Linked DNA regions of Sus scrofa. Each later gene encodes a partner of the first gene's protein in a complex. Links are inferred from orthologs where the notes say so. Each region holds a gene or a part of one and is shown in the gene's direction. Other genes may lie near its edges.

Evidence for each region.
Region 2: the proteins of AIFM1 (region 1) and CHCHD4 are in contact, whole or in part, in a cryo-EM structure (PDB 9GQZ), measured with the Homo sapiens proteins. The link is inferred for Sus scrofa from reciprocal best matches to the Homo sapiens genes AIFM1 and CHCHD4. Residues at the interface, in NP_004199.1 of Homo sapiens: Pro345, Tyr347, Ser500, Ser501, Leu502, Pro503, Thr504, Val505, Gly506, Val507, Phe508, Ala509, Lys510, Glu558, Asp559, Tyr560, Asn602, Ala605, Lys606, Phe608, Asn609, Ile610, His611; in NP_001091972.1 of Homo sapiens: Arg5, Glu7, Lys9, Asp10, Arg11, Ile12, Ile13, Phe14, Val15, Thr16, Lys17, His20, Thr22, Pro23.

Annotation. Positions count from the first base shown.
Region 1 is NC_010461.5:106,705,443-106,709,980, reverse strand, and holds the start of AIFM1 (apoptosis-inducing factor 1, mitochondrial), read left to right. Parts: upstream 1-1,690; 5' UTR 1,691-1,859; coding exon 1,860-1,965; intron 1,966-4,538. UniProt on the Homo sapiens protein: Functions both as NADH oxidoreductase and as regulator of apoptosis.
Region 2 is NC_010455.5:70,416,034-70,420,320, forward strand, and holds the start of CHCHD4 (mitochondrial intermembrane space import and assembly protein 40), read left to right. Parts: upstream 1-1,292; 5' UTR 1,293-1,464; coding exon 1,465-1,486; intron 1,487-4,287. Other genes in the region: TMEM43 (transmembrane protein 43), read right to left, coding at 944-955.

The DNA of each region.
Region 1 (4,538 bases):
CCTGTGGCACCAGTGGATTAAGGATCCAGCATTGTTACTGCGGTGGCTCAGGTTCGATCCTTGGCCCTGAAACTTCCCCATGTCATTGGTGTGGCCAAAAAAAAAAAGTCATGGTATTGCCTGCACTTCTGAACATTAGTCTATTCTTAATGAGTAAGGGAATACTGGGTCATTTTTACCCAATAAATACTGTTTCCTGAATTAAACTTCCTCAAACAACACCTTTGTAATTTCATTTTCTATCCTTAATCCACTAAAAATAATAACTTCATCACCTACAAGATTAGGGCTAAATTCTTTTACCAGTTCAAATCTGGCCCTACCATATTCACTTGTCCTTATTTACTTCTTAGTATGTACTCTCTGTCATTGTCCCCTATAAATGTGCTGGGGTTTGTTTGTTTTATACCTCCAAGCTATTTAAACAACATGATGCATCCTGTAAAATACTTTACAAATATTAGGTCATGTAATCTTCATAACAACCCTATGAGATTGATAGATGAGGAAACTGAAGCACAAGTGACTTTTCCAAGTGGCAGAGCCAGGATTCAACTTGGGGCAGAAGGGATCCAAAGTCAATGGTGCTTGACCACTGAAAATATTACTTTGGGTCCCAATGAATTCACCATCTGAAATATCATCCCTTCTCCATTGTCTATTTGAATTTTAATACTCATCCTTCAAGATGTAGCTTAAGTAACATTTCTTGTATGAAGTCATTCCTTAGCTTTTCCATCCCATACTTTTCTCTTGCTCTGGCACTACATCAGATATTTAAATGACCAGTGTATGTCATCTTCCCAATCAGACAGTGACCACTTCCTATACTATTCACATCCCCCAGAGCTCCTCTCATAGCACAGTCCAAATGGCAAGTGCTCAATACTTGTTAACCAAACATGTAACTCAAAGCTTTGAAAAAGACATATTTTGCATACAGCCCAAAGTTTATTTCCAATTTAGCTTACATGTGGTAGAGTCAAAACACCTATCTGCACTCAGCCTCTCACCCTACTCCTCCAACTCTTTTAAAAAATCTGCTTAGGATTTCTCTCATATAAAGTCGGTGAAGCACAAACTCTTTTTGCCGGCATCCTGCTCTCAAGCACCGAAGCCGTAACAGCCGACTACCGCAGCACCCGGTACAGCATCTAGGACACAGAACCGCACAGTATAAAAGTGGTATGGGAAAGAGTGAGCGGAATGTCTACTGGTCCAGGAAACAGGCGCTTGGTAGGAAAGCGCCAGCAATTTGTAAAAGACGGAAGTCCGCTCCGAATCTGGGAAGCCAGGTTCCCCGGCAGGCCCTGTGGAAAGACTGGAAGTGGACTTCAGCAAGAGAATCCGGAAGGCTTATTACCTAGTAATTAGGAACCTAAAACAGAAGACTAAACCGCGGCGCTGAGGCCACGCTTTGTGAGGTACTGTTACCGCAGCAGTACTGGCCACAACCAGGCAGAGCGGCCCCATCAGCCGCTCCTCGGGCAGCTTTCCAAAAGCGCTTACCCACACGTGTTGCCACCAACCTGCGGAAAATAGCTAGCAACTCCGGCTGGGGTCTTTGCAAGTGTGAGGGCAGCTAGGCACATGCGCACAGCTTCTCGCCGTGCGGGCCAATCGCAATGCGGCGCTGAGCATCGCGCCTGCGCAGTAGGCCTCCAGGCGCTCTTCCCCTTCCCTGCCGGAGCTGGCCGGCTTAGCTGTCCAATGCCCACCCGGAGCTGGGAGGAGGAGCCTGCGTAGAGTGCGTGTGAAGGGAGCAAGGGGAACGGCCCGGGGCCCTTGGTGTTTGACCCGTCCGTCGGTGCGTAAGAAGAAAGGAAAGGAGGCGGCGGTCCAGAGTAGCGGTTGCCGAAATGTTCCGGTGTGGAGGCTTGGCGGCGGGTGCTTTGAAGCAGAAGCTGGCGCCCTTGGTGCGGACGGTGTGCGTCCGAGGCCCGAGGCAGAGGAACCGGCTCCCAGGTGATTGACCCATCCCGGTAACCCCCACCTCGAAGTCCAAAGGCCTGGGCTCCAAAGGCTCTCTTTGCCTCTCAGTCCTAAGCCCACCCCACCCCCACCCCAGGGGAAAAACTAAACACACTCACAGTCGCTAAATTCCGAGGTGGAGAGATCTAAACTGTGAGTTTCGCAAATCGTGCTGACCTGACCTTCAGGGGATTTGAGCCCAGTAGTCGGCTTGAGGCCTTTTCCTGGGAGGCTTTGCTGTTCGGGGATAACAGACCAGCTGGCTGTCTCCTATTGTCCGATGCCACCTCGCAGCCACCCCCAGTTGGCCTTTTTAGAGCCGTGAGGTCAAGTCGACTTTGTCGTTTGTCGGTTGTGAGGCCCTAAGCAGGACGTTTAAGCTCGACACCTCAGGTCCTTTTGTAAATGAGTATATTGCCTGCCTACCTTCCAAACCCCACCTGTGATTCATAGATTTGAGCGCCCTGAGAAGCAGAAACAGTGCAATGAAAGTAAAGAGTCAGTCGGCTATGCGCCAGACACCAGGAAGAGTTGGCCCAGAATTCATTTGACATGTCTGGTCAGTGGAATTCTTGCTGGTCTCTAATGCTTCTAAGAAACAGTTTGCAGAACGCATTGCATTTGCCCTCCATGAAGTTGTTTCATCAAATGTTAGAGCTGGAAGGGATTTCGTGGTAAAGTTCAACCCATTCATTTTATAGATAATAAACCGAGGCAAAGACAGGTGAAATTACATGCCCAAGGTCACAAACCTAATTAATAGGCAGAGCAAAGTATAGTTTTCCAGTCTTTATTTCCCTAATCCCCTCGCCCTAACTCCACATTGCTTTCTAAAATTTGACCTCAGAAGGTTAAGAATGAATGCGGTTCCCCTTCAGCCGGTTGTGCATCAGATACCCTTGAATGTATCCAAGCTTATCTCGAGCCTGCTAATCTTCAACCTGCACAACTTCAGAGGGGTAAAGAATCATCTACCTGTAGGAGGTGCTGTTTTGTGGGTTTTTTAGTCAATAATCTTTGAATGGCCACCTGAAGATATTCATATTTGCAATGTGAGAAATGATCCTTGAGGCCTTTTCTTTCTTTTTTCTCTTTTACTTTCTTTTTTTTTTAAGGGCTGCACCCAAGGCATATGGAAGTTCCCAGGCTAGGGGTATTCGAAAGTTGCCCAGAAATTTACACAGAAACTTAAGTAAGCTGAAGATTTTCATCTACACACACTGGCCTTTCAAACTTTATGTACTTATTTTGCCTAAATTGTTTTGTGGGAAAACTAAGAATTATTGGCAATAGAGATCCTGAGGAGGAGTTCCTGCAGTGGTGCAGTGAGTTCGGAATCCAACTGCAGTGGCTCAGGTCCCTGCAGAAGCTCAGGTTTGACCCCCACCCCCCGCCCACTGAGTGGGTTAAAAGATTCCCTGTTGCCCTGCAGGCGTAGCTCGAAGCTAAGGCTTGGACTCAGTCCCTGGCCTGGGAACTTCCTTAGGCCACCTATGCTGCCAATAAAAAAAAAAAAAAAAAAAAAAGGAGTGAGAAAAAGAATGTATATATTTATGTATGACTGGGTCACCTTGCTGTACAGTAGAAAATTGACAGAACATTGTAAACCAGCTATGATGGAAAAAATAAAAACCATTAAAAAACAAAAGGAAAAGAAACAACTCACAATTTTTGCCAGCATTATGAAATCTGACCAAAAACGTTCTCATCAACTAAGTATGGATTTACAAAGGTAAATTGGTTTATTAGACATTTGAAGGTGGTTAGTAGTATTAGAACTGAAGAATACAGAAAATGTTCTTTTCCATTGCATGACTTTGTTTGAAAGCAGTCTGCTGTAGAGTATATTCCGACTTCTTGACATATCCATCCATCTCCTTGTGTATACTTATTCTTTGTCTTTTGGCCAAGCACCGGAGTGTAACGTTCCCTTTAGCAATGGGAGGAGATGAGGTCACAATTTCAAAAAGAAATGATTGTCATTTTAGGGATTAACCTTGTCTTGTGGCTCGATTTACTAATTGCTTTTAATCTGATTTCTTTTGCACACAGTAGCATTTACCATGTTTTTGCATAGATCAAGAAGAAGCATTTTTTATTGATATGCCATTTCCTCCTCCTTTTCCCCCCTTCCTCCCCACTAGTTCTTCACCAGGATTATAGCAAACTTTAAACCTACCTTGAAATGATCTCATCCATATCTGTCACCATTGTCAGGTTCGTTTCCATTATATGTTGCCTTTTGCCTTAAAACCATAATTGCTACTATTTATTTATTTGCTTAATTTAGATGCTCTGCCTCTTTCCAGCAATGATAGAAGGGAATTAATAGTCACCACTTTATGACTGCATTCAGCAGTGAGGAGCAGACTGGCTAAGTAATAGAGTAATAGATATTTTCTATTCTGTAGTATTTTATTTGGTTGCCAGACATTGTGCTGCCCATGTGATCAAACTGATCACTGACCCCTGACCTGAGGGTCGAATGTTTGAACATGTTTCTCTGTTCAGAATCCTTCTCACCTCACTAAAAAGGAAACTGGACTCCTTGTGGGCAAGGATCCAGA
Region 2 (4,287 bases), on another chromosome or scaffold:
GTGGGTGAGGCAAACCCTGGCTTCTCAGGGGGTGTGGAAGGCAGAGAGGACCTTGGGGACAGAGGAAGGGCCTGTTAAGAGGGTGTGAAAGGCCAAGAGAGAGAGTGGTTAGGACATGCCACCAAAGCAGGAGGGAGGGAGTGCCTCAGCTGGCTGGGCTCCGAGCTGGCACCAGAGGCACTTTTGCAGAAGACAGGAACATGAGTCACCAGCTTCTCCCACACCCAGCACCCTGTTGGCAGGTGCCCCTCGGTTTGTTGAATGAATGTGGGGCTTAAATAGAAAGGTTCCTCAGAAAAGCAGGGAGAAAAGCAGCTGCCTTTCCAAGGGCACCGCCCTCAGCCAGGGCCTTTCCAACCAAGCCAAAGCCAGGAAGACGAGGGGCCAGCAGTAGGGAAATGCTCCCTCTCCCAGTCATGCTAACTCCTCTGCTCCAAACTAGTCTGCCCCTCTGCACAACATCAGAGCCTTGGTTTACATACTCCCTGGAGCGGGGACCTCAGTGCCTGCTAGGACAGTGCGTTTCTGGACAGCTTCACCAGGGCGATATCTGCCTCCCCACACACCCCATGGGGGACTCCTGTCTGAAGTCCCGTCCAACTCTCAAGTCCGCAAATGTGAGAATCCCAAAGGCGCAGGCGGGAACCGAGAAGGAAAGAAGGAGCTGCGCGGAGGCGCCGCACATAAGCGGACCCGGAGACAGAGCCACACCTCCAGAGGTTGCGTCTCTACCACCACGCGCCCCCGAGGAGGACGTGGACCACCGGGTGCTGACCGCACGTACGGACGACCTGGCTGCCCTGCCGGAAGGAGCGGACCCGGGAGCGAGAGGGAGGAAGGGCCGGCTGCACGGAGGCGGTTAGCCGCACAAGGGGCTACGGCGGGCGGCCGGGAGAGTGGACGAGGCAGCCTGGGTGTGGCCGGCGAAGCCGGGGACACTCACGTTCGCAGCCATGGCAGGATCCGGTCACCGCCCGCCTCACTCGGCTCAGCAAGAAAACGGACTTACGGCTGCACCACGGAATCCCGCCACCTCTCGACAGCCAGATGGCGGCCAAAAGGCGCGGGAAGCCCGGAGCCCTAGGATGCGCTACAGAGCAACGCCCCGCAAGCCGCGGTTTTTCTGCTCTCGCCCGCCGCGCCTCCTCCTGGGAAACGTAGTCTGGTGCCCTCTCCGGAAGTTGCAACCTACCCGGTACCTCACTGGTGCACCTGCGCATTGCAGGTCATTCTGGGAATTGCAGTTCCTTCTGTCTAGGGAGTTGCTCGGCGGCGCGCGGCCTGCTGGGAAATGTAGTTCCCGGTTGAGAAGGCCGGGCTAGGAGCTCCGAGGCAGGCGCGCGGAGGGCAGGCCTGGAGGGGGCGGGTCCGCACGGGCCTCCCAGCCGCCCGCCTCGCCGGGGAGAGGTCACGGCGTGAGGCAGCCACCGCGATCACCGCGAGGTTGGAGCGCCGGGCTGCACTATGGCCTACTGCCGGCAGGAAGGTAGGAGGGCGGGGTACCTAGAGACGGCCTACGAGGGCCTGCAGGGAACAGGCGGATTGTGCGGCCCCCGCGCCCCACCACTGGTGCGGAAGATAGTCCTCGGACCCTTGCGTCGGGTCTCCATCCCCGCTTTACAGATGGGCAGCGGGGAGAAGCGAGGCGGTCCAAGGTCACCGTGAGGCTCGAACCCGGACGTCTGAGGGACCACCACGTGAGAGAGCTCTTAAATTAGGCCTGGGGGTCGGAGGAGTGCGAGCGCGCTGCCGCTGGCTCCTAACGGAGAGTTTATAGGTATTAATTGTTACTATGGCGCTTACCCACACCACGTGTTCCGGTTTGCGCCGCCCGTCAACAGTCCTGGAAAGTCGCCCTCGGCGTGCTCTGTGCTGCGGCGTGGAGTACCGCCCGAGGGGACCGGTCAGGCGCTGGTGCGCCCTAAGCCAGGCCCTGTTCATTTCCCGAGAGTAAACAGCGACCCAGAGGTGACTAGGCTAATGCCATGATGCCGGCAAGTCCGGAAGCTGGGGTTGGACCCCCGCGGTCTGATTCCAGAGCTGCCCAGCCTGGTGACCAGTGGATTCCAGGGAGCCTTCCGTTGGGAAGACAACCCCCCAAAAAAACAAAACTAAATAGGTTTCTGTCTATGGTCTCTCTCCTTGTTACCTCTCCTGGAACCCCAGAAGTCTCCAGGCCAGGGGTTCGAGGGCCTCCGCGCACAACCGCTAACTGGCTCTTTGTCCCTGAGCTGTCACCCAGCCCCTCCAAGGCCCAGTGTTCAGTCTTGTAAAATGAGAAGTAGGCCTTCCTTCCTTCTCCACATATTCATGAAGCACCTTTTTAGTGCCAGGTGAGGGTGATGGTGAACACCTGAGACTTTAAAGCTCCAGAGAGAGCTGGAACTCTCCCTGAAATTCTTTAATGAATAGTCTAGCTCCCTCAGGTCATTGAGGGACCCTTAAGCCCAGAGATGGAGGTGATCTACCCAAGGTCATGCTTAGGTAGGAAAACAGCTCAATCTAAAATGCTAGGCCTTTCCCCCAGTACCCCATTCTGCTTCCAGAACCCTCCTTCCCTGGGTCATAAAGTCATAATACTCACGATGTCTCTAATGAGTGCTATTTTAATTGATTGATATTTAACTCTGCCTTGAGCAAAAGTCCTCTGCCCTCACCGCTTTGTTAGAGAGTAGGTCTCTTGTTTTTTATTGCCTTCTGAGTCTACTTTACTTCATCATTTAGCAATTTTTTTTTTTGAGCCTTGTGGGCTTAATGAGGCCATGCAGATAAACAGACCCTCCTTGTCCCTGAGGATTTCTGGAAGTCCAAGGCAGGTGTTTATCTACCACCAAATGGTAGGTCATATCTTTTCCTGGGTCAAAGATCTCTCTTAGTATTGGGGGTGAGAACTGAAAGCATTCATTTTTAGGCCTTCCCTAGTTTTTAATATTATCCATGCCATGGTCCCCTAAATCCTAAAAAACTTCTTTTCTACCTAGCAATTCTTTCTGTTTCCCATGGGACTTAGAGAAGTGATCCCAAACGCCTGATTGAGGGCTTGTGTGATGGAGCCCCCACCTGATCCGTCCCCAGCTGGTCTCTAATCACCCACTGCTGACCAGCCACACTGGCCTCAGCTGTTCCCTTTGCCTGGGTGCATCCTTCCTCCAGGTCTCTTCCCACGGCTGCCTCCTCATCCTTTAAGATTCAGCTTCTCAGTAAGGTCTTTCTTGACCCTTTGTGTCTTTCACTTCCTAAACTATGAAATTACCTGATTTGTTTTGGTCATCTTATTTCCTGTCTTCTAGCAGCATTTCCTGTCTTCTGAGAGCATTAGATGGGCCATACCCCTGGCACCTGGCACCTTTACCCAGTGAACCCGTGCATACGCTTTCCCTCTGTTCTAAGTGAATCACATTGACTTCAGGGGTGCCCTGCCCCTATCCCAGCCTTTGGAGTAAAGGCCTCAGCTGGGTGTTCAAGGTGTTGGGCAGTGTGGACCCAGACTAGCTCCCTGGCCATGGGTAGCACTGTTCTTTCTCTTCTAATGTTGACCCCGCTTCTGTTCAGCTAAACTTTATTGAGCACCTGTGAAGTACCAGCCACTGAGGCATGGCTTTGGTCATAGGTGGGCCATCTGCCCTCATGGTGTGGTGGGGGCTGGGGGGGGAACCTTCCTGGGTTGGATGTGCTGAGAGATTCTGATGTGTAAAGACCCACACGTGTCCTGGGGAAAATGAGACCACCCATCCAAGGGTTTTTTTCTCTAACCTGCTTCATGGTGATAACCTTTCTCTGCTGGGGCGGAGGTCTTCATGTTCGAACCCAGAGTTCAATTTCTCCATTCACGTCTTCAGCAAATACCGATTACCCACTATGTCTTGGGCACTGTTCTAGGCTCTGGAGGTGCTGCAATGAATGGAGCAGACATTTCAATTTCAGTGGGGGTGACAGGTGGTAAACAAATATGTAATTGTAAGGTGAGAAAAAGCAGGTAAATGGTGATGGGAAAGGATGAAGGAGGATGGCATCTGAGCAGGAGGTATGAAGGCAGGGAGAAGGTGGCTGAGAGGGGATCTCAGTGTGTTCCTAGGGGGCAGACAGCCTGTGCAAAGGCCCTGAGGTAGGCGTGTGCTCAGCACATTCAAGTAGAAGCAAGGAGATGCTGAGTGGAGGGAGAAGTGGGGAGAGGGGGTCATGAAGGTGAGGGATGCAGGTCCTTCTGGATGTGCTTGGAGGCAGAGCCAGCAGGATTGGATGAGGGAGGCATGAGAGGAAGATGGGAGTCGGGGACAGAGGCACAGA